4 linked regions of the Tamandua tetradactyla genome follow. The protein of the gene in region 3 purifies or fractionates together with the protein of the main gene of each other region. This does not show direct contact. Links are inferred from orthologs where the notes say so. Each region holds a gene or a part of one and is shown on either strand. Other genes may lie near its edges. The genes, in order: TECR, TAP1, CANX and TGFBR1.

Region 1 (7,212 bases), on a different chromosome or scaffold from region 3:
CATATAACATTTCTTAAATGCATAAACCAGGGCTCCATGTGGCAACTCCCCTTCTGTGCATAACTTTTGATATATTTCTAGGAATACTGTTCTTTGATTTCGCAATTAAATGGGCTCTGCTCCAGGGAGCAGCCACAGAAAGGCTCCAGGGAACTAAGTAACTTGCCCTGTTACACACTCAGTGAGTGGCGGAACCAGCTTCGCCTCTGGCCCAAAGCCCATGCACCCACCTCATCATTACATACTAGTTTACTTTCTCCTGTTATCTTCGCCTTCCTTGCCAGTTTTCTGGCTCCAAACAATTGCCTCTTGACCAGAACTCTTCTCCCAAGACTTTCAGGTATTTATTCCCATGAAGGAAGCTGAAGGAAACCACCTGCTTGATGTGGGTCTAGGATTATTTGCAAGGTGGGCCCAAAAGAGCTACTTTGTTTGGTTAATGGAAGATCTTCAATGAAAGCGGTGCTTTCTTGCTTTCAGTACCCGGCAGTGGGAAACCGGCAGTGAAGTGGGCTAAGGGGGATAAAGAATTTAAAGGGTTTGAAAGCAATTTTTCCATTTGCTCCTGAGATCCTTACTTTGAGTCTCATCTGCCAGGAGTCTTAAACAGCAATTAAAAAATATAATAATAACAATCCTGCTAGGCTGAGTATCTGTCAGGGTAAACAGTTGTCTTATCAACCTTGTGCTGACCTCAAGATAATTCCAAGACCTGCTCTGGCCTGGAAAGGAGACAGCTTCAGTACAGGCCTGAAGGGTGACCCTTTCAGCTGCTTGTCTCAATTAAGCCTTGGGGGATACTTCCGCCCCTACCACCCCTCAGATCACAGTGATATGAAACAGTAATCAAAGCAGCAACAAATCTCTCCACCAGCTAGAACTCTGCCCTGACCCAGCCGGGACAGTGGAACAAGTCCCCACACCTCTGTGATACTGCTTCTCTCACTAGTAAACTGGACTCTGTGATCTAATCCAAAGTCTCCATACAAGTCTTTTGAGACAGGCTAACCACTCTGTGGATTGGAGGGTTGCTTGGAGGTGGTGGGCGATGGATTTAGTCCCAAACAGAAATAAATTCTTCGATATGGATAACTGAAACCTCTGCTAAATGCAAAGAAAAGCCTCTCTGTTATTTTTGGTGATCGGCTAAAAAACACTGCTTGTACAAGCACAGCTCTGAGAGAGAAACCCTGTAGCTGCAGCATTTAGCAGATATCAGCAGAGAATGATAGCAAAGAAGGACACCGCAAAACAACAATATATTTTATTCTCCAAGGTCACTCAGAGCAGTGGGTTTGAAGCTCCCTCTTCCTTCTGGAAGGAAAAGGTTTGAAATGAAGTGGAACCTATTCTGAAATCCAAGCCGGGGCCATCAAACTTTTTCACAGCTTCTATGCATCACCCACTCCAAGGGTTCTCGGAGACCTTCTTTATTCAACTGCTGACTAGCAACTGACTTCATTTTGCAAAATTTCATGTGGCTCTTCCATCCTGGTATCTTCCATCTTTCAAATTAAACCTGGCTTTTTCTCTAGGGTTACATGGAGGGTTTGAAATGGAAATCTGTGTTAGAAGAACCTTATTCTGGAATCATAAAGTTAAATGGGGCATGAGACTTTATTTGATCCTACCTTCTCCTTCTTGGTACCCTATCAAAAATGACTGAGGATTTGTGGAAGGACTTGAAGGAATCTGGGCAAATTACTAAAATAATAGTAACAATAGTAAAGGGGGCAAAGAGAGAGTGGTATTCAACTTGTGAACAGAACCAAGAAATCTCTAGACCTGCTAATTTCCATTGAGGGGCAAACAGGGCATAGAAGACTTTGGACAAGATACCATCCTAAATTGCTCTCTTTCTTCTGCATTTACTAGGTTGAGGTCTTCGGGCAAGTCACTTGCTATCCCTGAGACTGTTTCTTCATCTATAAAAACAGGAATAATAAAATAGACTGACCTCTTAGATAACAGAAGGAAGGTAATAGAATCTCACTAGCCCTAAGAGTAAGCACTTGCTATTCTTATAATTAACCTTTTTTTTACGCAAATGATAAATGACTTTTTATTTGCACTGTGTTATTATTAATCTCAATAAGTTTACTTTTTATGGATAAAGTTACTTAAAAGGCAGCAACGGTTAAATGACTAAAGTGTTCGTATTCTACTGTCGACCAGGACGATAAGCTCACCAGAAGACTCCGTTTTAAGAGAAAAGATACCGAAGTTAGGAGTCAGAAGTCTTGGGCTTCAAAACGTGAGATTTCCCCTCGGTGCCACGCAGGAGTTGGCTAAGCTGACCTCTTAAGACTAGCAGAAAGTAAGATCAGCTTTGCAGCTCGGCTGCAGCCAGCCCTGAAACGGCACCGTCTCGGCTGGTCCGGGACTTGCGGGGCGAGGGAAGGGGTCCAAAGGTCGTGGCGAATGCAAAGCCCCTTGCTAAGCCGGAGGCGGTGGCAATGGTGCAAGGTTTGCGCAAGATTTTGTCCTAGAATGGAAAGCAGGAATCCCACGCCCTCGCTCCCCCCCTGCCAAAACCTGCAACTCATCCCGCTGTGGGAGCCGAAGGGCACCCATAAGCTGCCCAGGCCCTGCAGAGACCCCAGGAAGAAAGCACCCCCCAAAACAGCCTGGTTGCAGAATTATAAAATTAAATTAAATTTAAAAACCTCCCCCGCACATGCGCATCTCGATTTGTGAGCGGCCAAGGGGCGCAGCGCGCGTCCACTGCGCCTGCGCCGCTGGGCTCGCCTCCTCGGAGCGCAGGAGCCTGACGGGATGGCTCGCGCGCCCGCTAAAGAAGAAACAGAGAAGGGGTATCCAAGGAGGCCACCCAGCCCCCGCGTCCTCGCTTCTTACCTCATAGTGCTTCATCGCTCCTTCTCACAGCAGCCGATGCTGCGCTACGAATGCTGCTACTCCCTGCCCGCGACACGGAGCGAGCAGCCTCCCGCGCTCGCGGCCGCCGCGCGAGACTAATTGCAGCTCCGCGCCGGCCCCTCCCCTCCCTGCCGCGTGCGCGCGCGCGGGCCCCACCGGCCAATCAGCGCGCGGGGCACCCACCTTCGCTCCCGTCCCCCGGGGCGGGCCAAGTGAGGACCGGCCTCGCCCCATGGGAATGGCCAATCGGCTCGCGGGACCCACCGAACGGGGCGGTGTGAGGGCGCTTGTGGGAAAGACGGGGCTTGCCCACCCACCAATCAAAAGAGGGCCTCGGCGCCAAGCGCCCCTTGACCGCGTCGCCTTGGAAACCAAAGGACGCGACGGTTGCGGAAAGGTGGGAGGCGGGAGCAAGAAATTGAGTGACAGGGAGAGCAGGGTCCACATGGCTGGCGGCGCGGTTGAGTTAATTACGAGGTGGGCGGCCTCCGGGGGTCCCGGGAGAGGGTTTGGGGGGTGGAGGCGCGGACTAGGCCGCCTGGAGGGTGAGGCTTCAGCGTCGGGGGGGGTGACCCTATCTGTCATGAATGGAGCGAGGGAAGGGGAGATAGGGAAGGGGTAGTGAAGATCACCCCCCCGGAACGCCCCCTAACCTGAAAACTGACCCCCGGCCCATTCTGGGGGTATCTTCAGCTCCCTTTTCAGCACAAGTTCCCGTGCCACCTTCCTTATCCCTTTGGGCAGGGGACCCACGTATGTTTCTACCTGCTGAAATGTGACTGGTCCAAACTACGATATGCTGTGAATGCAAAGCCCATGCCCAATTGCCAAGATTTACATGAGAGGGAGATTATAAAATACCTTTTTAATAACTTTTTATGTTGAAATGCTATTTTAGAAACTTTAAAAGATATTGATTTCCCCTGTTTCTTTTACTTTTTTTTATTAATGCACCTACTAGAACATTTGAAATCACAGGCATGAATCACAGTAGTGATTCACCATTTGACCTCGCACACTCACTCACACATGCAAACACACACGCACACAAACGCTGAAGATCTCAGTACAACCTGAGGAGCAAGCAGCTCCTGGCACTGTCCCTCACCTTCTCTCCTTTCTCCTTCTTCCAGACCCTGCCCCTGAGCCTCGGAACAAAGGCCCTCTGTTCACGGTAGTCTTCAGCAGTTGTTGAACCCTTCTGGAATTCACCAACATGGTAAGGAGTTCTCAAAGGTAGATCACTGATTCACAGAGGAGCTGAGCAGGGAGAGGGTGAGTCAGTACTTGACACTGAGTCATCCCGGTTCAGCTCTGGAGAAACTTCGGGAAGCCGTAGCCTTCTGGGACCCACTGTCTCCGAATAAACTCAGTCGATGCCTGCGTGCAGACTTCAGAAACACCTATCTAGTTCACTGTGTCTCTCTGAGCAAAGCAGATTAAAATGTAAAGGTGTTTGCTAATTGCGCTTTCAAAAGCACACATCTTTTTCTGTTGGCAGTTTGGAGGCTTCTAGACAGGCCTTGCTCCCTGCCCTCCCAAGGAAGAGAGGCATGGCTATACACTTGGAGGCGGCAAGTTGGGCTCGGTTGCATTACTCCAGTTATCTAGTTGTGAATGGTCCGTGGGGTGTGGGTTAAGCCTCCAAACTCTAGCCCCCATTTGCTCCTTTGCCACTTCTGCTGATATCTGCATTCTCCCGTGTGGTCTGAGTGGGTGAGCCTTCTCTATGGCTGGATTCCAGCTAGGTAAGGCGGATGGCCCAGTAGACGTGATTTTTGGAGAGATTCCATGCATACTCCTACGGACTCAGATCATACTGGAATTTCCCCTTTGAGGGTGTCTTTATGAGCCCCACCTTCAGAATCTAGACCTAGAAAGTAGAATTCCTCCTCGTGTTTGACCGACAGTGCAGGCTAGGGGGGGCCCTCATTCTCCTCCCCTCGTTCCAGTGACCAGGCTGACTGCAGAAATATCCTCTGAACTAAGGCTGGCTGCTTTGCTCGAGTCACCCATGGTGCTGTACGGTGGCTGGGATGGTACTGGGATGGGTACAGTAGCTGGGATGAATGTTTCCATGTCCTCAGCATCCCCAGCACAGCGACCGACGGATATATTTGGTGGTTGCTGGCAAGCCCGTTTAAAGCCACCTCTAAAGGGGAAACTCCAGAGGGGACCTGCACTGGGGCAGTTTTGAAGGTTGAGCAGGGCCAACCCACCGTCATTTGGACATCAAAGAGCTGGTGGGTTTGTTAGTGTGTGTCTCACAAGCCCCTTTTGTATTTCCCAAGTGCTAGTAAAGTATCGTTTTGATTTTCCCGAAACCTGGCGTGGCTTATGTCTCCGGGTACGTGATCCTCCTGGGCAGGGTTGTCTGAAGAAGACAAGAGCCGACAAGCCAAGGCTGGTTAGCAATTTTCTATCATGTCAGGGACCTGGGAGAGAGGTTTCCCAGGCCCTCTCCTGGCTTCCCTTCTTTTTAAATCCAGAGGATATTTGTGTATGTGTGGTTTTTTCCCTCCATCCTTTTAAATTTTTATTGCAGTAACACATATATAACACAAAGTTTCCCATTTTAACCACTTTTAAGACTACAGTTCAGTGGCATTTACTACATCCACAAAGTTATAATACATCCATTACCAAAACCTTTCATCACCCAAATAAGAACTCTGTGCCTATTAAGCAATAACTCCTCATTTCCTTGCTCTCCCCATCAGGCATCTCATCTACTTTCTTGCTCTACAAATTGGCTTATTCTTATTCTAGACATTTCCTGTAAGCAAAATCATGTAATATTATTCCTTCTGTGTCTGGCTTATTTCACTCAACATGGCATCTTCAAGATTTATCCGTGTTGTCACACGTCAGAAATTCACTCCTTTTTATGGCCAAATAATATCCCATGGTACATAAACATCACATTTTGTCGATCCATTCATCTGCAATGGACATTTGAGTTCCTTGCACCTTTGGGCTATTGTGAATATGTTTCTTTGGTTTTTTTCATTGAGGTATAATTTACATACAGCAAAATTCACCCAGATCAGTGTATAGTTCTGAACATACACAATCACATAACTTCTACCACAAGCAAGCTATAGAAACATATTTCCACCACCCCAAAAGATTCCCTCATGCCCCTTTATAACCAGCCACAGCCCTGGTAACCACTGGCCTGCTTTCAGTAGCTATAGTTTTGCCTTTTCCAAAAGTTCCTATGAATGGAATCATACATCAGGCAGCATGTTTGTTTGTTTTTTAAACTATTTTTTATTGATATCTTTACACATCACACAGTCCATCCAAAGTATATAATCAGTGGCTCACAATATCATCACATAATTGTGTATCCATCACCATGATCAATTTTAGAACATTTGCATCACTCCAGAAAAAGAAATAAAAAGGAATGAGAAAAACCCATACATCCCATACCCCTTCTCATTGACCACTAGTATTGCAATCTACCCTTTTTTTTTTTTACCCTTTGTCTCCCTTATTATTTATTTTTTTGTCTTGTTTTTTTTCACTCCTCTGTCCATACCCTGGATAAAGGGAGCATCAACCACAAGGTTTTCGCAATCACACGGTCACAGTGTAAAAGCTATATAGTTATATAATCATCTTCAAGAATCAAGGCTACTGGAATATGAAATACAGTTCAACGGTTTCAGGTAATTCCCTCCAGCCACTCTAATACACCATACACTAAAAAAGGATATCTATATAATGCATAAGAATAACCTCAAGGATAGCTTCTCAACTCTGTTTAAAATCTCTCAGCCACTGACACTTTATTTTTTCTCATTTCTCTCTTCCCCTTTTGATCAAGAAAACTTTCTCAATCCTGTGATGCCAGTCCCAGCTCATCCCAGGAGTTCTTTCACACACTGCCAGGGAGATTTACACCCCTGGGAGTCATGTCCCACATAAGGCAGAGGGCAGTGAGTTCACCTACTGAGTTGGCTTAGAGAGAGAGGCCCCATCTGAGTAACGAAAGAGGTTCTCTGGGGATGACTCTTAGGCATTATTATAAGTAGGCTTTAGCTTCTCCTTTGAGGCAATAAGTTTCATAGGGGCAAACCCCAAGATCAAGGGCTCGGCCTATTAAATTGGTTGTCCCCACTGCTTGCGAGAATATCAGGAATTCCCCAGGAGGGGAAGTTTAAGATTTCCTCCTTTCTCCCCAGTTCCTCCAGGGGGCTTTGCAAATACTTTTTTATTCTCGTAGATGGATTTTTGAGTCTGGCTTCTTTCACTAAACACAATGCATTTGAGGTTTGTCTGCATTGTTTCATGTAGCAGTCACCAGTTCTTTTTTATAGCAGAGTA
Region 2 (7,562 bases), on a different chromosome or scaffold from region 3:
TGCCAGGGATTTCTGCATCTGTACTGCCAGCAACTGTGGATGCACAGAGAGGGTTGGTAAGAAATAGGGTTCATTAGTACCTGAGTTACTGGTTGGAGACTAAAGGTGAGAAGAGGCAAAGGAATAAGAGAGAAGAGGGAAAAGAAAAGGATACAACTATGCTAGAGCGATATAAGGGAGAGGAAAAGGACTCATCAAAAAGTTGGGAATCATATTCTTAAAGACAGATTTTTGGGTAAAAGTCAGGAGAAAAGATACAGGGAGTATGAAGATCAAGGAAGAGCAATCTAGAAAAATGGGACTGCAGGAACAGGGAGTTCCATGAAGGCGGGGAATTATGAGGGTACCAAGAAAGTTGAATGTAAAGAAATCCAAGAGGAAATGAATCTGCCAAATCTGGGAGGTAAAGGGTCCGTGTAGGTTAAGCCAACTCCATGAACATACCTGGTACCACTTTCCCAGCTTCTTAGGCAGAAGGAAAAGCAGAGGCAGGGCAACCAGGGTGATCATGGTGAGGGACACTGACCCCCAGAGCATGAACCCGAAGAGGCACAGCCCCCGTACGAGGTACCACAGCAACAGGCTCAGCTGCTCACTCAGAGACTCACTCACGGTGGCTGTGTCCTCTGTAACCCGAGATGTGATGGCACCTGCCAGGGGTTGGGGAGAAGAGCATAGAGTGAATGCAATGGGTTCAGAGTGATGAGAAAGACTAACAATGAGCCAGGATGCCATGAGTGGGGGTATCAACACAGTGTTCTAGGGAAAAACAAGGTTGGATGGGTGTATGGAGGGATTCGGGAATCTCATTGCAGGCAGAAGGAGTGTAATAGCTATGAAGGGGCTGTGAAAACCTGCCAAAGATCTTCATTTTAACTATGAGAAAATTAGCACCATGTGAAGTTCTATTTTTCGGAAAGCTTCCTGTTCCTTAAAGAACTTGTATATCCCAAACTCTACATAAAGGCAAGAAGAGCCTAAGCTGGTTGTGTAATAGCAATGGAGAAGGGAGAATGCTGCTAGGAGGCAATCCAGGAGGCTCTAATGAGCACAGCACTAGGCATTAAAAGGCTGGGGTTCAACCTGCAAGTTTGTCTTGATCCATATGTGACTACAAAAGTTTCAGCATTTTGGATCTAAACTTCAGTTTCTTTCTCTGGAAAGTGAGGTAGTTGGACTCCAGGATGTCAAAATTTTCAAATAGTTTCTAAGGACATAATGAAAGTCTGAAATTTATATCTAAGGACAGAGAGGTACAGATTTATGGGAAAATCCTGGAGAAGGAACTAGGTTTTTCTGAAGGTAAAGAGAAGAATATTTTGCTCCAACTTGAGATACATCAAGAGTAAGAAATGACAATGTGTGCATATAAGAGAGGTATCACGTTTCTAAGTAAAAGAGAATGCATTGGGGACAGAAAGAGTACATGAACATATAGCGAAAGAGTTTCGTGAAAACCTGTTTGGTTCTGTTGGAAAAACTCTGTCTCCTGCCGCAGGACAGCCTGAAACACGTTTCCGTGCAAGTGGCTATGCACACGGCCCATGGTGTAGTTATACATTCCATCCCCTGCAAATTCCAGCAGTGCGCTAGGGGCAGAGGAGAAGGAAGGTCAGGTGGGGTGCTGGGAGGATGCAGAAGGAAGGTCCCAGGTACCCCCCACAGATGCTATGCACTTTGGACAGCAGGCCCCAATTTCCAGCTCCCTCTTTTCTGGGATCCCCCATTCTGAGCCATCCATCTTCAGCCCCCAGACCTGGCTATGGTGAGAGCAGACATAAGAGTTATGTTGTAGGTGAAGGCAGCAGCTACTTTATCTTGTAGGATCCAGTCAGTGAGACGACCAGTGTAGAACGGGATGGCCATTTCCCCTGGGGTAGGAGAGGAAAGACCGGTCAGTCACAGACACTAAGTCTAAGCAGGGCACCTCTGACCAGACTATCCCTCATTCCACCCCTCAGCTGCCCTTATCCTTATTCCTAACAGTAGAAGCAGAAAGAAGACACTGAGGTCATAATCCCCTACCTGAGGAGACTGCCCTGGGTCTCCCGGCCCTATGTTTGCTCCACCAGACTTTCCAGGGTTTAACTAGAAAGGCTAGAGATGGAGTAAAATACCCTCCTCTTGCTGCCCAAGAGGAAAGGTCTTGCCCAATGTGGCCCAAAGAAGTGGCGCCTGGGACAGGACTGGAGACCCGGGCTTGAGCCCACCCAGTCCAATGCACTTTTCTCCAGACGGGAGTGGTCACCTCGAGACCTCAGCTGGGTCACCAGATGCACATTTCCCATAACACTACCACCACCCATCTCATGACCATTACACTTGCTTCCTGACTAACCACCTGCATCCTCCCGGTCTCCACCTGCGTCCCTCTTACCGAGACAGGAGAGGATCAACAAAACCAGAAAGAGCGAAAAGGTATGTATCTCTGGGCTCAGACAAGCGAGAAGCCGAAGCACCGCGTCTCCAGAGCCGCTAGGCCAGAAGGACACCCGAAGTTTGTGCCACAGGGCGGCCGCGAGCAGCGCTGCAACATAGCTGATGATGAAGACATCGGCGCGACCTGCCCAGTGCAGCAGCCCGGAGCTGCCTGCATCCCTCGGGACACCCCACAAGCCCAGCGCACGAAAGGAGGCAAGTCCCGGAAGTGCCAAACCCAGTGCCACTGCCAGAGGCTCCAAAGCTTCCAGCCAGCTCTGGACTCCTGTGCTTTCCCTATCGGAGACTCTGGTCTTGAGAACCCCGCGGGCCCCCAGCCACAGAACGGCCCAGCGGCTCAGGCCCACCCCCCAGACCCGCAGCAGCGGCAGCGCGGTGGGAAACAGCAGAGTGAATATCCCGGGCAGCGCGGGCCGGAGCAGTAGACAGTCGGCGAGAAGCAGCAGCGTCGCCCCCAGCCACGCGCAGGAGGCCCGGCACGCGCGGGGAGCCCGGGACTCTGAGCCGGCCATCGGCTCGCGGCTGCTGTCCCGGGTTCCCTTCGGGAGCCTGCGGGTCTCGCCTGCGTCTGTAACCTAGCATGCGCCGGGGCTGACGGCCGGAGGCGGGAGCAGGGGCGGGCCGGGGCGGAACTCTGGGAAAGTCCCCGGTCTTGCTACCAAGAATTGTAGCCGTTTAGGGGAAAGGGAAATCGAAAGCGGCAGCCGGCTCTCTTGTACCGCCCACTTCCAAATGGGGCTGGCCAGACTATCTGGATATCAATTCTAAGATTCTAGGGAGCGGCACCGTTGTCCCCATCTGCTCCATCACGCACATCTTTCGCTCCTCTCCCGGTCTTTTCCTGCGGGACGCACTTGCTAGAACTTTCTCATCCAAGTCTCAGAGCGGGGCCCTTTCGTCATCTGTCTCTGGGCAGATCTGCCCCACACAGGTTTGCGTCCCCGCTTCCAGCCTGACAGCGAGGGCGCAGACGCCCCCTGGTGGGCGCGGTGAAGGGGCGGGGCTCTAGGCTGCGCGCCGCGCGCTGTCCCAGGTCAGAAAACCAGAGCCCCAGGCAGCGAGGAGGCAGCCGGGATGTTGCGGGCGGGAGCGCCGAGTCTGGACTTACCCCGGACCGGAGAAGTTCATACCGGGGTAATGGGTCTGGGGTTGAGGGTTATCAGAGAGTCGGAGAAGGTGGAATGATAAGGAGACCCTGGGAGCGCTGAGGAGTGTGTGCGGAGACTAACAGAAATGTGGGGAAGTGGCTTGTAGCAGCTAGGGCTTGCTTGCATCCCGCAGTGAACTTAAGGCATCTCTATTCTGAAGAAGGTCTTCTAGGGGGCCGCGAAGGGCCTGGGCATTCGAGGCATTAGAGTAGGGGGCGGTGTTTTGGCTCTTAGCTGGAAGCGTCAAGGGGAAGCTGCTCTAAAAAGCTTTCACTTTCACTCTGGGGTGGACAAGGTGGGTGGTTAATTCAAAAACGGGGGCTAGAGGCGATGCAAAGAGATGAGGAGACGGTGCCCTAAATGAAGTTGGACTACACTTAGGAAGAGGGTATAAGGTCACTGATTGAGCAGGATCAGCTCACCGCAGAGACGGGTGATAATAGCCCAAGCACTGATTACGGGGGTTCTGTGGGACCTGGTGGTGCTTTTCCCTACCTTGGCTCAGGAAGGTTCCTGCTTGTTCCAGGTGTTGCCAGTTCCCTTCCCTGACTCTTCCCTCCCCACTCCCACATGCCTGCTGGGAGACTGCCCAGGCTGGGTGCCTGGGACATATGGCAACCCCAAGGCTGACTGGTCTCTACTCCCAGACTGCTGCCTCCATTCCAGGTTTGCAGACAGCTCTGTTATAGAGTAATCTCTAGGATGGGGTTGCACCAGTTCTCTGGCCAAATGCATGGTGAACTGTTGTACCAGAGTAAGGTATAACAGTGAGGAAAATCGCAGTAAAACCATTTGCAAGTTAGAAAATCTCCCTTCACTGCCGCACGAGCAATGGAAAGTAGGAAGTAGAAGTCAGACTTCATAGGAGTTAGACCTGGGTTTTAGTTCCAGCTCTGCTAGTGATTCAGTGTGACCTTGGTGTCACTTACCTGCTCTATGACTCAGTTTCTTCCTTTGATCATTAAGACTCCTTCCAATTCAAGGAGTAGAGAAAGTGTAGCTTTATCCCTCATCACTGTTCCTTAATTCTTTTCTTTTTTTTCTTAATTCTTTTCTTGACCTAGAAAAAAATCAGCCCAGACAGCCTGATCCAATCCTCTCCCAGTACACATCTTACTCTTACTGCCTGAAAGATCTACTTACCTCCTAGATCAGAAACTCAAGCAAAACTTATTTTAAACTTCTTATGCGAAACTTCCTTGCTTTCCTCCTGCCCTGATACCTGGCTCCGCTAACTACTGACCAGCTCAATGTTTTACATTGTTCAGTACACTGAAAAAATTCATTTCTGATTAAATGGGGATGAGAATGGAGGATTCTGGGCAAACAAACTTGACCTTGATTCCCAGATTCCTAGATTCTTGCCAAGTTACCTGCACCCATTGGAACATATAATAAGCTTGTGCAGTAGAGAAAATTCACTTGTGGGACTACTTATGTGCCCTCGAACCCTTCCCTCCAAGGGAGTACTTCTACCTCAAGGAGGCTCTTTCCCCATCTCTCTTTAGAAAGGAAAGGATTTCACCAAGAAAGTTGGGACTTAGGGTTGTGGTTCTTTATTTGTTGTATCAAGGCTGTGCTGTGGCGTTCCCTTGAAGTGGGATAAGGCAATAGAGAAGTGGAAAGATGGAGAAAAGACCTTGTACTGGGGTCTGCCCTGGCCTGTATTACTGTATGACCTTGAGCCAGTCGCCTCTCCTCTCCGGCAGGGTCTCCTCACCTGTAGTACGGAGGTCAGAACTTCCTGCTCTGAAGTCCGTTCTCTGTGTCTCTGCAGACGACCATCATGGCAGTGGAGTTTGATGGGGGCGTGGTAGTGGGCTCTGATTCTCGGGTGTCTGCAGGGTGAGTATCCGTGAAACTATAAGGATTTGGAAGGAACTAATGGCACCAAATACGTATTTTTCTTACTCATTCATGAACAAAAAACTGGTGAACTGGAGCTTTGGAAAAATGGACCAGACCATTCAGAAAGGACAGGCCACTATAATAAGATATTGGGTAGGTGCTTGGGTCTCTCAGTTTATGAAGGAAGGACATGGGATCTGGATGCTTATGTGGCCTGTTCCTGTAGTATAAGGGGGTGGAGTGTAAAGGAACAGAGTCTTAGAGGGAGACAAGAGATAGAAATTTGAGGGTCCCTCCTTCCATCTCTATTTAGGGATAGAAGAGATGATTCTGCCGAGCAGATATTCTGATTTCTCATTTATCAACTATTAAGCTAATTTTGTCCCTACTCTCCCTTCCTGGCCAGAATTCCTTCACATGCAATATCAGTATATGGGATTAGATCAATATTACATTTGTTGTGTTCCATTACATTTCTCAAGATGATGAATAGCAAAAAAAAAAAAATTGTTGAGGTACATTTCTCTTACCTTCTTAACTTAGGGTTATTTTTCTGTAATAAAATCTAAACCTGAAAAATAAATCTAACTCTGACTAATTCTTGCACCAATGCATTTATCCATGAGACTGTTTTAGCTTTCTGCTTTAATCCAAGCATTGAATTTTATGCACTCCATGACTGTTCTCTTGTCAAATAAATTTGAGAAGCACTCATTGATTGACCTTACCAATTCCTGCCAACTCTAACATTGATGACTGCTCTTCCTTCCTGACAGAGAGGCAGTGGTGAACCGAGTGTTTGACAAGCTCACCCCTCTACACCAGCGCATCTACTGTGCCCTCTCTGGCTCAGCTGCTGATGCCCAGGCCGTGGCAGACATGGCCTCCTACCAGCTGGAACTCCATGGGTAGGAATTTCCACTGGCCATGAGCTCCTGACCCCACGCTTACTGGAGCTCCTCCAACCCCATGAAGTTCTATGTGAGGCTCTGTTCCAGGCACATTGAGTTAGGAAATGGGAAATTCTTATTTGGGTTCCTGCTTTCATTAGCTTTGAACTGGCGTGCTTGAATCTCTATAAGCCAGTTTCGGTACCTGTAAAATGCAGATACTAGTACCTACCCTCACATCATGGCTATTTTGATAATAAAATGATATATATGAAAGCCATTTGAAAACTGTAAATCACTACACTGATATAAATAATAAGGAAGAAAATGATCACGTGGCCCACCATAATCTCGATCAAAGTTAATGTATGAGAAATCAAGGCCATTCAAGCAGAAATAAAGCTTATCTGCCTTTCCATACAAGGTCAGGGTCCTTGTAGACAAAGGACAATTAAGTAATTGGAGGTAGGGTGGGGCAGGGAGAAGACCACAGAAAGCTCCTTATAAATTGGTGACATGAAACCCTGGTTGAAACCCTGGTTGCCCTGTACGTGTGGAAGGGAAGCTGGAATTTGAACTAATATAAGTATTATAGGTCATTTGGCAGGTATAGTGGTAATAGCACCAGAGGCCGGGACTTGAGGAGATTATGAGACCCCTACGCCTAATATCTCCGTCAGGTTGGAACTGGAGGACTCTCCCCTCGTTCTGGCTGCTGCAAACGTGGTGAAGAATATCACCTATAAGTATCGGGAGGATCTCTCTGCACATCTCATGATAGCTGGCTGGGACCAACGTGAAGGGGGCCAGGTGAGTGTCTCCTAACTTGCCCCCTCCCCAAGGGTTCCACCCTTCTGTATGGAACAAGATGGTAGGCATATGTCATTCTAGCAATGAGTTTCAAAGGACAGAGTCTCAACTATTGGGCTGTGAGATACCAGAGCTTTACTGCAGAATGGGGAGGCCATCTGCTTGTCTCAGTGCGAAGGGGAAGGTTGATGACTCTTTAGTCTGACCTGAGGACGCCCCCACCTAGGTATATGGAACTCTGGGAGGAATGCTGACGCGACAGCCCTTCGCCATTGGTGGCTCCGGCAGCACCTACATTTACGGTTATGTGGATGCAGCATATAAACCAGGCATGTCCCCTGAGGAGTGCAGACGCTTCACTACAGATGGTAAATCAACAAGTGGAAGGGAACCTGGGAAGGGATTTTTAAACATGAGAAAGAAGTGA
Region 3 (7,553 bases):
TGTGTTCTACTTTAATCATCACAATTCTAGGTCAGTACTATCATGCCCATTCCACACATGAGGAAACTAAGTCTAAAGTTACATAACCTATCCAAGAACAAATAGCAATGAGTGTTTATGAGCAGGGACTCCCAAGTCCTGCTCAAGCACCTGACAACTTACAAGCTTAGGTGAATTACTAACCCCTCGGCGTGAGCTGTTTCATCCAGAAAATGAGAATATCAGTATCTACCTCTTAAGACTGCTGCATAGACACCATGCATGCGACATGCCTAGCTTACTTACAGTATATATTCAGCAACAGCTGGGATTTTTTTACTCTTACTAGATATTGTCTAATAACTCCTTTTATTTGTCATATTTTAAAGGTTTCAAAACTCTGAGTTTTAAGACAGTATAAGAAACTCTAAGTCTTAGGTTGGAAAGGAACCATTTAAAAGAATAGCAGTCACAGATGAACCAACTTACTGCTTCATATGGTACCTTCCGGTTTTACCATCATGCATATCTAGTCAAAAACAAAATAATAAAAGGAAATTAAAAGGTAGATAAAATACAAAGTGGTCTTTATTGTAAACGCTCACCCATTTTAAAGTAGATCTTCCAAACTGCCTTGTTGACCTTTATGGATTTTTTCACTGACAGAACACTAGAATGGACTTTTCCATAACATTTTATTTCTTCCTCTCAACTAAGTAAGTTTAAGAAGTGAATACTTGAAACATACTGAAGATCCTCCAAATTCTTTTTTTTTTTTTTGTATGCTGTATAGTAGGGTCACATTTCATTATTTTTCCATATGAGTATCCCATTATTGCACCATTTGTTGAATTTTTGTTTTTTCTTTTGGGAAGTGCATGCACTGGGAACCAAACCTGGGTCTCCGGCATGGCAGGTGAGAATTCTACCACTGAACTACCGCTGCACTCCTCTCCAAATTAATTTAAAACTGTACACCGGTTGCAGTAACAAGGCATTGAACTAGCATTTTTATGATGAAGTTCTACAGTAAACCATATAGACTGACCTATGCTTTGGCACTTTTATTATCTTCCAGGAATTATTAAGAGCTGCCAATTTTCCTAATTGCCCAATTTTCTACACTTTTCAAAGAAGCTTCGTGCTAAGATGGACAAAGGTAAACAGCCTCCTAAAAGTAAGGCATCTGAAGAGACATCTCATTCCCATTTTAAAGATGTGTAAACCAGGGAAGCACATGAGCTAATTACTGTGCTCAGCTTGAGCCTACACTTATGAATTACCAACTGTCATTCCTTTCTTGTAAGATATCTTGCAGGACAAAGTGAACTCTACTGAAAGGATGCAGCAATGTGATTGCCAAAACTGCAGCAATGACTTCTGCCACAATGTTTACTCCGTGGTCTGTGAAAGATAACATGACAGCTGATCTGCCTAGTTAAGATAGTAAGGGGGGTTGGGGGAATGGGGTGGATGGGATGCTGACACCCATTTTCAGATAGGTCTGGAGACTCATTTGCTGTGCAACATTCATGCCAATACTTTTCTCCAGCAGTCACACAATCCAGTTACCTGGACCTTTTCTCATGCCCCTGGCTGGTGGAACGGAGAATTCCCACACAGTTCTTCACCTGTGCTCTACGGATAATTATAGTAAACGTGCAAGGGGGCAGTCGATTCTACTCAGGACCCTCCGACATTGTTACAGGAAGATATAGCATCATTTTAAAGATTGCTACACTGCTTCCCCTTAAAACAAAATCTACTTGTTAAAAAGCTAAGCAAAAACTTCCATTTCTTAAAATTAGAAGAGACGTCACTGTCGTTCACCTCTGTCCTCCCAAGCATTTAATGTTCAGCTCAGTGTAACTTCCCTCAACCAGCATTCACTGGTGTCATGCCAGCAAGTTAATTCACACGCTCCAGTTTCTTCCCCCCAGACCATCAAGGTGTCTTCAAGTCCTGCAAAACAAGACTTGTCCAACTCAAAAACAGGACTGTCAATACAGCGAAACAACATCAAGATTTCAATCATTTATCGCAATCATTATTTATCGAGCATTCGCTATATGAATCAGGCTTCCCTGTCCTATTTTCTAAACATCCTAATGTATTCCTCAACGCCGCCAGATATTATTATATCCACTATTTGCCAAGAACTGGAGCACAAAGGTTATGGAAATTGCCGAAGCTCACAGAGCTAGCGAACCGCCCGGGCGGGATTTGAACCAGGGCCTTACCCTTCGCCACTACACCGAAACGACCTAGCCCTGGATCATACCCTCAACCGCCCGTTAAACCAATCGCATGACCTTGGGCCTGTCGGTTTCCTCCACCGCAGGGCGAGTCGCAACTCCGTGAGCTTTCCCTTTCACTGGGAATTTCCGACGGGGTCACTCCCCACACCCCCGGAGGTACTGCAACGCTAAGACTAAAGTTTCTCAGCCCCCTAGCTAGGTTCTAGTACATTCTCCGACCCCTCGGGGTGCCAGGATCCGGGCTTCGCTCCGAAATCTTATTTTCCAAACATTCCTCAATCTGATCCTGCATCCTCTCCCTCGGCCGGTATTCTCCTTCCCCCTACCGAGAGTGCCGACACGGCGCGATTCCACTCGGGATCTTTCCCCGACGGCTCCAACCCACCCCGCAGCCACTACCAAGAAGAGGCCCAGGAAAGGCCCAGGCGCAAGGCCGGGGCAGCAGGTGGGCCTTCCCGAGGCCGGCGAGGGTCGGTGCACCTGCCACGCCTCCCGGCCCCGGCGGCGCGGCCTGGGCGCGGTTCCCCCGCTGAGGAGGCCCAGGTCCCGAGCTCGCCCCTCATGGCCGCCGCGCCCACCGGGGCCTGGGGCCGGCAGATCCGGCCCAGTGCCCCGACCCCCGGCCTCTGGGGCCCTCGCAAGCCCCCGCCTCACCTCGAGCCTCCCGGGGACCGCCGGCGGCACCCGCGCCTACTCGCGCCTGCACACACGCCCGGCCCCGCGCTGCAGTGGAGACGGCGGCGGAGGCGGCCCGGCCGTCACGTGCCGCAGCTCCCAGAAGCCTCGGCGCGGGCGTCCCGCCCCGCGACGGCCCCTCGCTCGGGAGTGGTGGCGGCGGGAGCCAAGTCCCGCCCTCGCGCGCGAGCTCCGGGCTGTGGTTGGTCAGCGTGGCCATCGCTCGAGCTACCTTCCCAGACGCCTCCTAGGGCTATTCTTCGTGGAGCGCGCCGATTGGCTTGATGCGAGGAAGGAAGTGGCTACCGGCTGGGCGAGCGAGGAGGGGCGGGGCCGGGGACGACGGGCGCGCGCGTCCTGGGGCGGGGCCGGCCCCGATGAGCCGCGCGCTTTAGGTGCGTTGGGTTCGCGCACGCCCTGGGTCCTGATCCTCGGGGCTGGTGGGGAAGGCTTCCCGGGCTGTGGGCCGGCGCGGGGACTGGGCGCCCGGCACCGAGGGCCGCCCGCGGGCCTGGGCTCGAGTCCCCGGCGCGTTCCTGTGCGTCATCACTCCGCGCCGCGGCCGCCTCGTGGCCCGCTTGCAGTGGAGGCCGGTACAGACCTGCCGCGCGGACACGCGGACGACAGGCCCGCGGAAGGCCGGCGCGGCAGAGACGTGGAGACGCGCATAGCTCGCGTCACCCGCCTGCAGCACATCTGCAGTTTCTACTATGCCGAGAAGCTCGGGAAGTGAGAGCGACCCAGGGTTGCTTGAAAACTGGCCCAGGGCTCCGTCTCCCGTCCGCTCTGCTCCCCAAAGGCCGAATCCTCGGTGGAGAATAGCTAGAGCCAGTGGGTGTGTCATAGAAGCCAGGTGGATCTCCCGGAGGGGCATTTGAGGAGTTCAGGGTCTGGCGTTTGCCTTAGTTTCGTTTGCCACCTCTCAGGCTCCAAATGTGCATAAGGGAGTTTTGTTTTTTATTTCCTGCTTAACTGGGAAAGTAGGAATTAAAGGCAACATAATATTTCAAACAAAGGGCTTCAAAGTGAGGTAGAGTGAGCCAAGTCGCTGCTGCAGCAAAGGTTAAGTGCTAAAAGATGGGGGTACGCAAGTGAAGTTGGTGGGGTTCTGATTAGGGAAGAACTGCTTGCATGTAGGATGATGTTTTAGTTTGCTAATGCTGCTGCAGAGCAATATAACAGAAATGGGTTGGCTTTTATTAGGGGGATTTATTAAGTTGCAAGTTTACAGTTCTAAGACCATAAAAATGTGCAAACTGAGGCATTGAGGAAAAGGCCCCTTGACTCAAGAAAGGATGATGGCATGGAATGTATCTCTGTTCGCTGGGAAGGCATGTGGCTGGCATCTGTGGTCCTTTGGCTCCTGGTTTCAAACACCTCACTTGGAGACGTTTTCTTTCTGAATTTCCAAAAGTCTTTACCAGCTCTAAACTTTTTCTCAAATTCTTCTCTCTTAAAGACTCTAGTAAGTGGAGTAAGACCCACTTGAATGGGTAGAGAAATCTCCATGGAAACCACCTAATCAAAATGCACCACCCACGATTGGAAACACTTTAACCAAAAAGTTTAAAAACCAGAATTCCTAGGTCAGATAAATCCTGAAACCCAAAGGGAGCAGCCTCTCCAAGATTATCAGTTTATTTATGTGCCCATATCCTTTGCTGTCCACATCCGTTCTCAACATGAAAAAAGAACAGGCGTTGCCAAAAAATCCCTATAGATTAAGAGGAGGATTAAAGGAGAAGGTATAACAAAGAAAATGGGATTTAATGAGTATGGCAGCTGAATCACTATATTAATATTCCTTCGAACCTCCAGTGTTTTGGAGCAGCTACAAGGAACAATCTAAGATGGTGGAATGGTCGCCCATGACACTTTGGGATCTGTTCTGTAACTATTTGTTGTAGTGTGCTTTGAAAATGATTGCTTTGCTTTGTATATATGTTGTACTTTACAATTTTTAAAAAAAGTTAAAAAAAAAAAAAACCACCCAACAATAGGCCTACCCCCACAAAATGGGATTAAAATAAAGAACATGGCTTTTCTGGGGAACAACAGTTTCAAACCAGCACACATGGCCAGGGAAAGTGAAAACATGGGAGCTGGGCCTCGTAGGCTGTGTGGGTTTTCTGTAAGTAGAGGGTGGGAGGAAGGTTTCTTTAGATGAGGGAACAGCGTGTGCAAAGGTAAGAAACCAAGCAGAGTGTGTTTGTGGACAATGGTGTTCAAGCTGGAGAAGGATGTTCATTAAAGTGAGAGATGGTAAAGTGGCTCCACAGTTGAGCTGGAGCCTGGCTTAGCCAAGGAATTTAGAGGGAGAAATTTCACATTTTAAGTTTGTGTCATGTTTTCAGTGTTGGGGGAAGCCTTATTTTAACCATCATTCCAGGGAGGTCTGAAACAGGCAGGTAAGGAAACCAGCGCTTGCAGTTGATAAGGGGAAAATTCGGAGATGGCTTCCTATGCAGAAATAAAAGCATTAAATATTAATGCTGACAAATGGCCCATTGGACTCAGAAGGCTAAGGAAAGAGAGAAACAAAGCCAGTGCAGAGAGGCTTGGGGCCTGGACTGGAGGTGGTAGAACCCCAACAGAAAGAAGTAATTCAGGCTTGGTTGGACCTGGGAATATGGATTTGGGCCTGAGACAGAGCAGGTCTCGGGATGCGGATTTTTCCACCAGAGCATGATGTTCTTCAGTGTAGGAGGCTGACAATGAACTTGGAAGAAGGAAATTTTTCTTACCAATTCAAAAGGTACCTGCGGCATTAAAATACCTCATTAAAATAAATAAGCATTGTATAGTTCTTAGATGTTAGAGGTGTGGGAAATGGGACTGAATATTTTCTGACCTTATTGTATAACCTGCAAGTTTTTCGAAATGAATTATTTATATCCATTTTGAAATATGCATATCCTTTAACCCAGCAATTGCACCCCTGGGAATATATCCTCATATGTGTATGGAATATATCCACATACTGTTCTGGTAGGTATATACATATAAAATGTATGAACATATAAAGTTATACACACTGCATAATTGTTTTGGTACCAAAGTCCTAGAAAAAATCGAATTGACCAATCATAGAGAATTGGTTAGATGAAGTATGAAAAGCATGAGGTGAGGGTATATATATACTGATGTGGAATGACTGCCAAGACAGTGTTGCGTGAAAAAGTGCTTAGTAAAATATGCTTCTTTCTGTGTTGAAAAGAGAGATATATTCTTAAAAATAAAAGCTTGGACAAACAGGCTCCCTGGAAAACTACAAGAAACTGCTATGAGGGCTTGAGACTCTGGAAGAAAGAAGACATATATACATACATACATATGAGATGCATGTATTATTTTTTCAATAATCAAATAGATTTTTACATATGTAAAAATATGTGCTTAGTTACTAAAAAAAAAAAAAAAAAGACTATTTTAAAACTACTGTAAACAGGGTGGGCCACGGTGGCTCAGCAGGCAGAGTTCTCACCTACCATGCTGGAGACCCAGGTTCAATTCCCGGTGCCTCTCCATGTAAAAAACAAACAAAATACATAAGCAAAACTGTACTGAAGGCATTGATCAATTTATCCTTCCTTTCCAACCTCCTCTTATATATTAAGTTGCCTCCTCCACCTTACAAGATCCCAGAAGAAAAGCCAGCTAGCTCATCCTTACTCATTCTCACCATCCTTTGCTTGAAGGGGAGTGAGGAGCACGGGGAAAGAAGGGGCACCCTACATTTCCATCAGGCCCTTTCTTTCTGGTTAAGCAAGGAACGGTCATTTCCTTCTACCGACACTAATGTGGCAGTGTGAAATTGACAAGCACAGAACAATACGAGATTATTTTAATTGAGGTTTCTTTTATTACAGTGAGGTTAAACATACTAGAAATGGGTCAGTTTTTAACAATGGGGTTTTATTTCTAAGGCCATGAAAATGTCCAAATTAAGGCCTCAACAGGGCAATACCTCTGAGGAAAGCCCTCTGGCAGCCAGGCTTCCTCTGTCAGATAGCAAAGCACTGGTCTACATCTGCTGGTCCTTTGTTCCCAGGTTTCACTGCTTTCAGCTCCTGCTTCCAGTGGCTTCCTCTCTGAGCTTCTGTAGGTTCTCTCTGAGCATCTCCGGAGATTTTTCTCTAAGCTTTCTCGGCTTTTTCTTCCTTTGATCCTCTCATAAAGGACTTCGGTAAAGGATAAAAACCCACCTTAAATTGGGCTGGGTCACATGGCAACTGAAACCTAACCAAGACAACAGGTCTGCACCCACAGGAATGGATTAAAAGAACCTGGCCTTCTAGGGGTACATAACAGCTTCTAACCAGTGCACAGTAAGAAATCTTTATGCATTAGGATAATTAGCTTAGCTACTCTAATTCTTTTTTTCCAGTTTCTTTAAGAGCTTTTTCATTTGGACCTCTTTCTGCCTATAAAGAATAGAAATATATTGAGACTAACTCAAGGAAACTATCAAAGGACACCAAAGAATCCAAGGACAGGAAAAGAAGTATGGCCTTGCCTTTCGCTATCCAGAACTTGGAGGTGGATTGAAGGTTGCTCTTTCTGTCTTAAATTCTCTTTAAGAAGGGAATTTATTAAATTACAAGTTTACAGTTCTAAGGCCATAAAAATGTCCAAACTAAG
Region 4 (7,876 bases), on a different chromosome or scaffold from region 3:
AATCAAAAGACACATATGGCAGAGTGGATCAATGGTTGAGCATCAGTGCTGCCTATTACAATACTAACAATACCAAATCACAAACTCTTTCTCATTTCATCTTCACAGTGTTATGAATTAGGCAAAGTACGAAATATAAATGTGGTAACCAATTGCTTTTTTCACTGGTCAACTTTCCCAGATTAAATACATGGAACTACAAACTAATACTACATAAACTGCACTCACATATAACAGTAAGAATACTAAACGCAGTAAGTACTAAAGAACAGTCAATCAAATGGAATTCATTTAATCAACAAACACTGAAGTGGAACAGAATACAAAACAGTACTAGGTTCTGAGGGCATAAAGGAAATAAAAGACATGATCCTCACCCTCTGGGTATGTAAAATATACGGAATAACAGTGCAAGAGGGTAGAAACAGACAACACCAACTGTAAGTCCTACACAGTTCAAGCAGATAAAGAATACAGGAAGTCAAAACTGAGAACCTTCCTACTCCCACTCCCGAAAAGGAGCAAAATTAAATATGCAGTGTAAAGGCTAAACAGTAAGGAGTCAGCGGGAAGACAGAAATCACTGGAACTGAGGGGCTGCTGCAGTGAGAAGTGAGACTTCTGGCTGGCGATTTGGAGATAGCCCTAACGTCAGCCTCCATCGTGTGCTCTAAGTGCTGAGCACAAACGGGAAATCTTGTAAAGCCCTTTTGGGAACGGCGGAGGAAGATGAGTTTGGAAGTAGCCCACAGAAAAGACAAGACAGAGAAAGAGTGGGAAGCAATTCAAATGTGAGGGATAATGGGCAGGACTTAGCTGATACAAAGGACTAAGGTGACCCACACAAAGAAAGAAAGATACATATTCAATAGGTATTAATATAAAGAAAACTTGCGTTTGAGGTATGTTTTCCAAGGTAAAGGGAAGAGATGGCAAAAAGGAAGCAACTAGTATTCTCCTATGGGCTATAGATGTGGACATTGTGGTACTAAACTGTGTACTAGGGACAGGGAACCAATTTTTCTAGAGAAATTCATGTTGGAGAGAGCAGAGGCTGTTTTAGAGAAATATAAAACTGATACCCAGACTATAAGGAACAATGGCAAGCTCTTGAGTAAGGCAGACAAATCATAAAAATTTTTTTTAAAAAAGCATTTGAGCTTAACTTCTTCAGCATGTACGAAAAGGTTGAGCTGAAATATCAATATAACCATTCCAGGCAGGTGGACCAGTTCAAGAAGTCTGGGCTTGGAGTCATAAGCATCTGGATTAGCTTTCTACACCGCAAACCAGTGTACTGTGCAAGCCCCTCCCGGGCATGCACTGAGCAATGCTTGCTCTGTACATTCAACGCGCCTGATGCTGCTATGTGAGCACATGAACGCTCCCCGCAGAGCTAGGTGCCAGGATAAGTGGAAAAGAGTTAACAGTGGTACGGAAATGTTATTTAAACTGGATGTGGAACTAAACTGCTTCTCTCCCCATCCAGTTATCTTGCTCCCCTCCTAACACCAATGTCAAAAATCCAGTTTCCTCGAACACACTCCCAGTGTGAAAGGAATGACAACAAAGTCAAACTGAAATGTAAATGGTGAGGCCAAAATCTCAATAATAAGGAGCAAGTGTTCATCAGATGACTGGAACAAAATAGGCTGTGCCTTTTTGGTCTATCTTTGGAAACAGAGAGTCCTGGGTGCAAATCCTTAATCTAGCCTTCTCTGTGCTTCAGTTTTCTCAGCTATAAAATAAGGCAAACGCCACTAGTCCTGAGGGTTTAGTTGTGAGGATGAGATAACGTGCTTTGGTGTACTCTGCATCCACAGCACAGTCAGCTCTTAACAGACAGTAGCTATCAGAGCTAATAATAACTGTCACCCTCGGTCTTCAATTAAGTTTTTAAATTGTCGTTTGTTTTCTTTCCTAACATTTGGTGTCATACTTTCACTGTATATTAGCTGCTAGCACTAAGCCCCTATATTTTAGTGTCCAGTATTTTAATTCTGTTGCTAATACGAAGTTTTTCACTCCTTACCGGAGTAGATGACCACCTATACCCCATCCCGATTTAGTATTTTGGGAAAGCGAGCAGGCGTTCTCCCTTGTAAACCAACTACACGGATGACTGCTGCAAACTACTGCCTGTCACCAAGGATAAGGACCATCACTAGCAAACATTCTTCTTCGAGGAAATAAAAGCATTCGCTCAATTCACAGAGTAATTCTCATTCAAGCCTTCCAAACCGCGCAGAGTGAGCAAACGTTCAAGTTTCTACAACGGAAACGATCAGCGGCCGTCTGGTCACTGGATTCGCTAAAACCTTTGCAGCCGCACCGAGAGCAGACATTCCGCGCATCCCGGGCCTGCTCCTCGCCACACAAAGCTTCGCAGCTCCGTTTCCAAAGCCACCCCCGGCTGGAGAAGCCGCCCCCCTCGGCGGGGTCGGCCCGGCTGACCCGGGGTTCGCAGCCGCACCACGCCCCCTCCCACAGCTGGAGGAGGCCCTCTGGGTTCAGAACTCGACCGCCCCACCCCGCCTCCGGGGCTCCTGTCCGACCCCGCCCCGGGCCTGGGGGCTGCGGGCATCTACCCGCGAGGAGCGAGGGTCCCGGGACCAGGACGCCGAGGGCGCCGGCGCGGCGAGGGGGTAGCCCTGCTCGGCCGGCCCGGTGGCCCCGACCCCAGGAAGGCAGCCCCGGACCCCGGACGGCGCCGCCCGCGGAGCCCGCAGCGGGGGCAGCTTCCCGCGGCCCGGCGCGTCCACCCGCCCCGGCCCAGCGCCCCGCCCTGGCCGTGGCCCGGCCCCGGCGCCGCCACCTGCGCCCCCGGCCCCGCGCCATGTTTGAGAAAGAGATGGAGCGAGCCAGAGGCCCGGCCCGCGCGCCTCGCTGCTCACCCGTCGCCCCCCGGACCAGCATCGCCGCCGCCACCAGCACGAGGAGGAGCAGCCGGGGACGCGCAGAAGCGGCCGCCGCTTCCATGGTCCCGCTGCTGCCGCCGCCGCTGCCGCCACCGCCGCCGCCTGAGGCCCGGCCCCGCCCGGCCGCCGCCGCCTTGCTACAGCCAGCAGCGCCTCGCCCCACCTCCCGCCGCCGCCGCCGCCGCGCTCGGCCTTTTGGAGTTGCTCCGGGGCCGCGCTCCCATTGGCTGCCGTGCTCCAGCCGGCCCCGCCCTCCCTGCTCTCGGCCAGCGGCGAGCGTGGCCCGGTCCGGAGCCCCGCCTACGGGCCCATGGGACACCAATCCGGAGCGACAGGCTCCAGGTCGCTGGCCACGCCCCCAGCGCTCCCTGGGTCTGGGCCGCCAGAGGGGGAGCTATGTGGGGGCCGCGTCTAGCCGGCTCCATCCTGGACTGGTGTGTCTGTGTGTGAGCCGCTCTCGGGAAAGGCCGTGCCCCTCACGACACTCATTGCTTCTAGTCCCCTGGGTAAGCGGCAGCACAGAGCTGGTCCTGACCCCGACCCCACCCGGACCTCCATTCACACCCTGCACGCCGACCCCCGACACCCCCTGCAGCCAGGCTTCAGCTCCCCCAGCCCAGTTCCACTCCTCAACTGCCGACACCATCCCATACCAAAATCCTTCTTCAGTGCCCTTCATCGGCGACTTGGTCCCACTGTTTCCTCCTGTTAGCGCTCACCCTCAATCTAGCACCGACCACCCCCCTCAAATTCCAAGCTCAGAAAGTCCCCAAATCCTGGCCTCAGACCCCTGATCCCGAACTCAGATACATTCCCAAATAGCCTCCCACCTCCCCCTGGAACAAGGAGGAGACCCAGAGACCCAGAGCTGGGCTTCAAACCACCCTCCTTCCCCCTCCCCACTTTCTGATCCAGGTTGGAAAGGGAAGCCCCCCGCTCCCCACGTTGCACCCCCAAAGAAGGAACATTCCCCTTCTCTGCACCCATCTCCCACGGGGCGGAGGGAGAGCAGTCAGGGTATCCTGAGCTGCCTCTAACACGCCTGCACGGTAATTTCGAGGTGTCACTAAAAACCCGAATCAACTCAACTACGTTTTCATTCTGAATTCCTAAATTTGCAGTGAGGCGCTCCACCCACCTTCCCACTGGGACGCCAAAATGAGCTCCAGATTTGTAATTCTTCCTGTCAGACTAGTCCTTTCTTCAGACCCAAACACAGTCAAAAGAGGCTGTTACATAGAACAGAGAACATTTTCCCGCAGAACCTTTTAAGGAGAAAATTTTATTTTCTGTGTGATTTGAGCCTGCAATTAAATAAACGTTGGTAGCAGGAATCCGCAGCAGCTTGGACGATCGATTTATAAATTACTTTAGAGCCACTCTGTGAGCCTTTCCCGGGCCTGTAAAGACTTCCTTCAGTGAGCTGCAGAGCGGGAGGGGTGGGGGTGTTGGAGCAGGATCTGGGCACTTCCCTGGCCAGGTCATTTAACCTTTCTGAGCTTTTGTGTCTCGTCCATAAATTGGAAATAATATCTACCTCCCAAGGTTACTGAGAAGATTTGATGAGATTTGGGAGTTCCCCCATCCTCCTTTAGGTGCCAGTTCTAGACCCTTCCTCCAGACCCTTCACCTGCTCCTCCACTCTAGACCACACCCCCCGGCCAGGTAAGGGACAGGTATCCTTCAAACCACCTACTCAGGCATGCAGCTGCTGCTGAGCTCCACGGCTGCCAGCAGGGGGACCAAGCCGGAGAAACAGCTTCTGGCAGCCTCCAGCCCCAGCCTGCTCCCTCAATTCCAGTTTTTTCATTGGAGACTTCATGGGTAAGTCAGGTTCTGTGACACCTGAGGTCCCTAGGCTGCCTTCTCACTGCAGTTCTTCTCAGGGTCTTCATAAGAAGAGGGCTCAAGAAATGTTTATTGTTTGAATGAGTGAATGAATGATTGACCTCAGACAAGTGACTGTTCTCTGACCCTTAGGTTCCCCATCTCTAAAATGGGGATAATAAGTTTTTTTGCGAATGGAAAGGATTGAATCACATGTCATGTGTCTCTTAAATGATGTAATGTGTCTGCAACAGCGTCTGGAACATAATAAATATTTAGTTAATGCCATTTCCTTTGCCCATCCCCTTTCCGGTTTTGTATAATTCTCATCAGGATTTTTGCTCATGTTAACCCCTGCCTTTGCTTTACAGAGCCTCAGATAGGGCATCTTCCACGACATACCTCTGATTCCTTAGTATTTCCATTGAACTGACTGAGTCCAACAGGAAAGTGAGGAGTGGGAAGGAAGAACAGGCTATTTTAAAACATGATTTTCCTGATATTAAGAAAAAAGTACCATGAGCCACAGATCCATAAATAGACTACATTAAAATGGAATAATATATTTTAGGTTAAAAGTGGCAGCTCTCAAGCTTTAAAGTGTCTCCAGATTACCCGAGGAGTTTTTAAAAATGCAGATTCCTGTATCTTGTCAATCCCCCATGCCCCCCACCCCCACCAGTCTGGGAATCTTCTTCAGTTGATCTGGAAGGAGTTCCAGGAATCTGCATATGTAAAAAGCATACCCGATGATTCTACTACAGATGGTCAGGCCACACTTTGAAAGACACTCTTTTGGAAAGTGTGACCATAAAATTCAGTAAATAAAAACAGATGAGCTTATTACACCTTTTGAGAAAGGATGGGCAGTGGAAAGGAGCCTCTGGCTTTGAGGTCTTGCAGACCTTAGTTGGAATTCTGACTGTCACTTACTAGGTGTGAGAATCGGTGCACACTACTTAATCTCTCTTTGATTTAGCATCCTCTAGTGTAAAATGGGGTGACACCTACTTACATATTTGTTGTGAGATCTAAATGCACTATTGCAATAAGGAGTCAATCATAAATGCCAACTACCTCCATAGTCTCCATACCCTCTTCAGTGGGCCTACAGGTTGTCTACACCAATGTCTTGATTTAAAGGGGGAGAAACTGAGAACCAGTCCCCCAGTAAGTCAGCTGTGTAACTAGGACTAACGAGATTCTTACTCCAGTATCTTATCCCTGCACAATGCTACCCCTCAGTCTTCATGCTGAGTACACTGTTTGCCTTTCCTTTTGCATTATTCCTTAAGATGTTTTCCCCCAAATCCAGAGCAGAGACTGCCAGTTGCCTAACCCATATCCATTCCTCCATTCTCTTTATAAGAGAACTCTGATTTCCTTTGGGAAAGCAGTTAACCTAGCTAAAAAGTCTCAATTTCCCAGGCTTCCTAGTGGCATTCTGGACAGCGAAATATAAGCAGAAGTCTACCAGAGGGTATTTTGGGGAATGATTCTCTTTTCCTCGTTAAAAAAAAAAAAAAAGACTCATTGCATTCTCACCTTCTTTCTGCCTAGAATACAGCTGCAATACCTGGAGGTGCAGCAACCACTTTGCAAATATAAGGATGGCAGTCATAGTTCGCAATGGTAGAGAATAAAGATGGAGAGATTCTGGGTCCTTGATAAGTCTCTTGAGCAACTGTACCAGCACTTAAATGCTAACCCATGGGCATCTTAATGTGTGAGAAAAATAAACTTTAAAAAAATTTTAGAATGCTGCAGTTCTATACATATGCCCATCCTAACTATTTTGTCTATTTTATTTCTGTATTATTTTTTTAACTTATATTACTGATTTATACAATTGTTAGCTCTTGATAACTGATGGTTCTCTTAACTGTATAACAAACCATCTCAAAACTTTATAGTTATCCTGAGGCTTACTCTTATGAAGCTTATGTAGATAGCGGAGAAGCTTAGCCTACCTATAGGTATGCGTAAGAGTTACTTCTGGAGGACCTCTTTTGTTGCTCAGATGTGGCCTCACTCTCTCTAAGCCCAACTCTGAAAGTGAAATCATAACCCTTCCTCCTACGTGGGACATGACATCCAGGGGTGAAGGTCTCCCTAGCGACATGGGAGATGACTCCCGGGGATGAATCCAGCCCTGGCACCGTGGGATCAACTATTCCTTCCTGACCAAATGGGGGGAAAGAATTGTAATTAGTAAAGTATCAGAGGCAGAGAGAGTTCAAATAGAGTTGAAAGGCTACTCTGGAGGTGGCTCTTACACAAGCTTCGGGTAGACCTTGCTACCTATGATAACCTGCCAACCCCCAACCAAGACTGTTCCAGCCAATCCTGAAGAACACCTAGGGCAATTTATAAGATTCCACAAGGGTTCCAGGCACTAGAGTAACTTTCCAGAAACCTAATACCTCCAGATGGTTCCCTGGACCAGATAAGTCCTGAAACCTAGAGGGCCCAGCCCCTCCAGAACATCAGATGATTCCATTTCCCTACCCCATATTAGTGACAGACCCATCCAAAATAAAAAATTTAGAATTCCATAGCCCAAACAATCCCAAAGAGAGGTATGGAAAGATCAAAGGTTATTTCATTAGGAAGTGGAGTCCATGGTTATTATTATTATTTTTTATTGCTCTGTATGTAATGAGTCTTTTTTTTCCCTCTGTTGCTTTTAAGATTATCTCTTTACCACTGCTTTTCAGCAATTTAATTAAGATGTGCCTTTTTTGTGACTATGTCTCTCTCATCCAAGTTTTTTTTTTTTTGCATGGGCAGACTTCAGTAATCAAACTTGGGTCTCCAGCATGGCAGGCGAGAATTCTGCCACTGAACCACGGTTGCCTACCCTCATCCAAGTCTTTTATTAATGATTGTAGGAATTCCCTATATTATCTAAAAATGAGCCCTTTTTTTTTGAATATATATATATATTGCAAATATTTTTGCTTAATCTGTTATTTTCTTAATGTTAGTTTTCAAAGAGCAGGAGTTTTAAATGTTCTTTTAGAATTAGTTATTTTTTTTTGTTCAGCCTGGAAAATCTCCACCTAACCCCAATCACAAAGATATTCTCCCGTGTTTTCTTCTAGTAGCTTTGCAGTTTTAATATTTTAGGC

What was found.
Region 1: the proteins of CANX (region 3) and TECR purify together in Homo sapiens (affinity purification with mass spectrometry; 3 studies listed by BioGRID and IntAct, with this or other methods). This does not show direct contact. The link is inferred for Tamandua tetradactyla from reciprocal best matches to the Homo sapiens genes CANX and TECR.
Region 2: the proteins of CANX (region 3) and TAP1 purify together in Homo sapiens (affinity purification with mass spectrometry; 3 studies listed by BioGRID and IntAct, with this or other methods). This does not show direct contact. The link is inferred for Tamandua tetradactyla from reciprocal best matches to the Homo sapiens genes CANX and TAP1.
Region 4: the proteins of CANX (region 3) and TGFBR1 purify together in Homo sapiens (affinity purification with mass spectrometry; 3 studies listed by BioGRID and IntAct, with this or other methods). This does not show direct contact. The link is inferred for Tamandua tetradactyla from reciprocal best matches to the Homo sapiens genes CANX and TGFBR1.

Annotation. Positions count from the first base shown.
Region 1 is NC_135337.1:88,450,848-88,458,059, forward strand, and holds the start of TECR (very-long-chain enoyl-CoA reductase), read right to left. Parts: upstream 3,009-7,212; 5' UTR 2,872-3,008; coding exon 2,857-2,871; intron 1-2,856. UniProt on the Homo sapiens protein: Involved in both the production of very long-chain fatty acids for sphingolipid synthesis and the degradation of the sphingosine moiety in sphingolipids through the sphingosine 1-phosphate metabolic pathway.
Region 2 is NC_135331.1:88,703,262-88,710,823, forward strand, and holds the start of TAP1 (antigen peptide transporter 1), read right to left. Parts: upstream 3,015-7,562; 5' UTR 2,952-3,014; coding exon 2,378-2,951; intron 1,872-2,377; coding exon 1,757-1,871; intron 1,590-1,756; coding exon 1,459-1,589; intron 651-1,458; coding exon 445-650; intron 34-444; coding exon 1-33. Other genes in the region: PSMB9 (proteasome subunit beta type-9), read left to right, coding at 3,514-3,573, 5,365-5,432, 6,212-6,343, 7,006-7,135, 7,362-7,503. UniProt on the Homo sapiens protein: ABC transporter associated with antigen processing. In complex with TAP2 mediates unidirectional translocation of peptide antigens from cytosol to endoplasmic reticulum (ER) for loading onto MHC class I (MHCI) molecules.
Region 3 is NC_135346.1:1,594,979-1,602,531, forward strand, and holds the start of CANX (calnexin), read right to left. Parts: upstream 3,003-7,553; 5' UTR 2,892-3,002; intron 1-2,891. UniProt on the Homo sapiens protein: Calcium-binding protein that interacts with newly synthesized monoglucosylated glycoproteins in the endoplasmic reticulum. It may act in assisting protein assembly and/or in the retention within the ER of unassembled protein subunits.
Region 4 is NC_135328.1:16,290,947-16,298,822, reverse strand, and holds the start of TGFBR1 (TGF-beta receptor type-1), read right to left. Parts: upstream 3,014-7,876; 5' UTR 2,980-3,013; coding exon 2,895-2,979; intron 1-2,894. UniProt on the Homo sapiens protein: Transmembrane serine/threonine kinase forming with the TGF-beta type II serine/threonine kinase receptor, TGFBR2, the non-promiscuous receptor for the TGF-beta cytokines TGFB1, TGFB2 and TGFB3.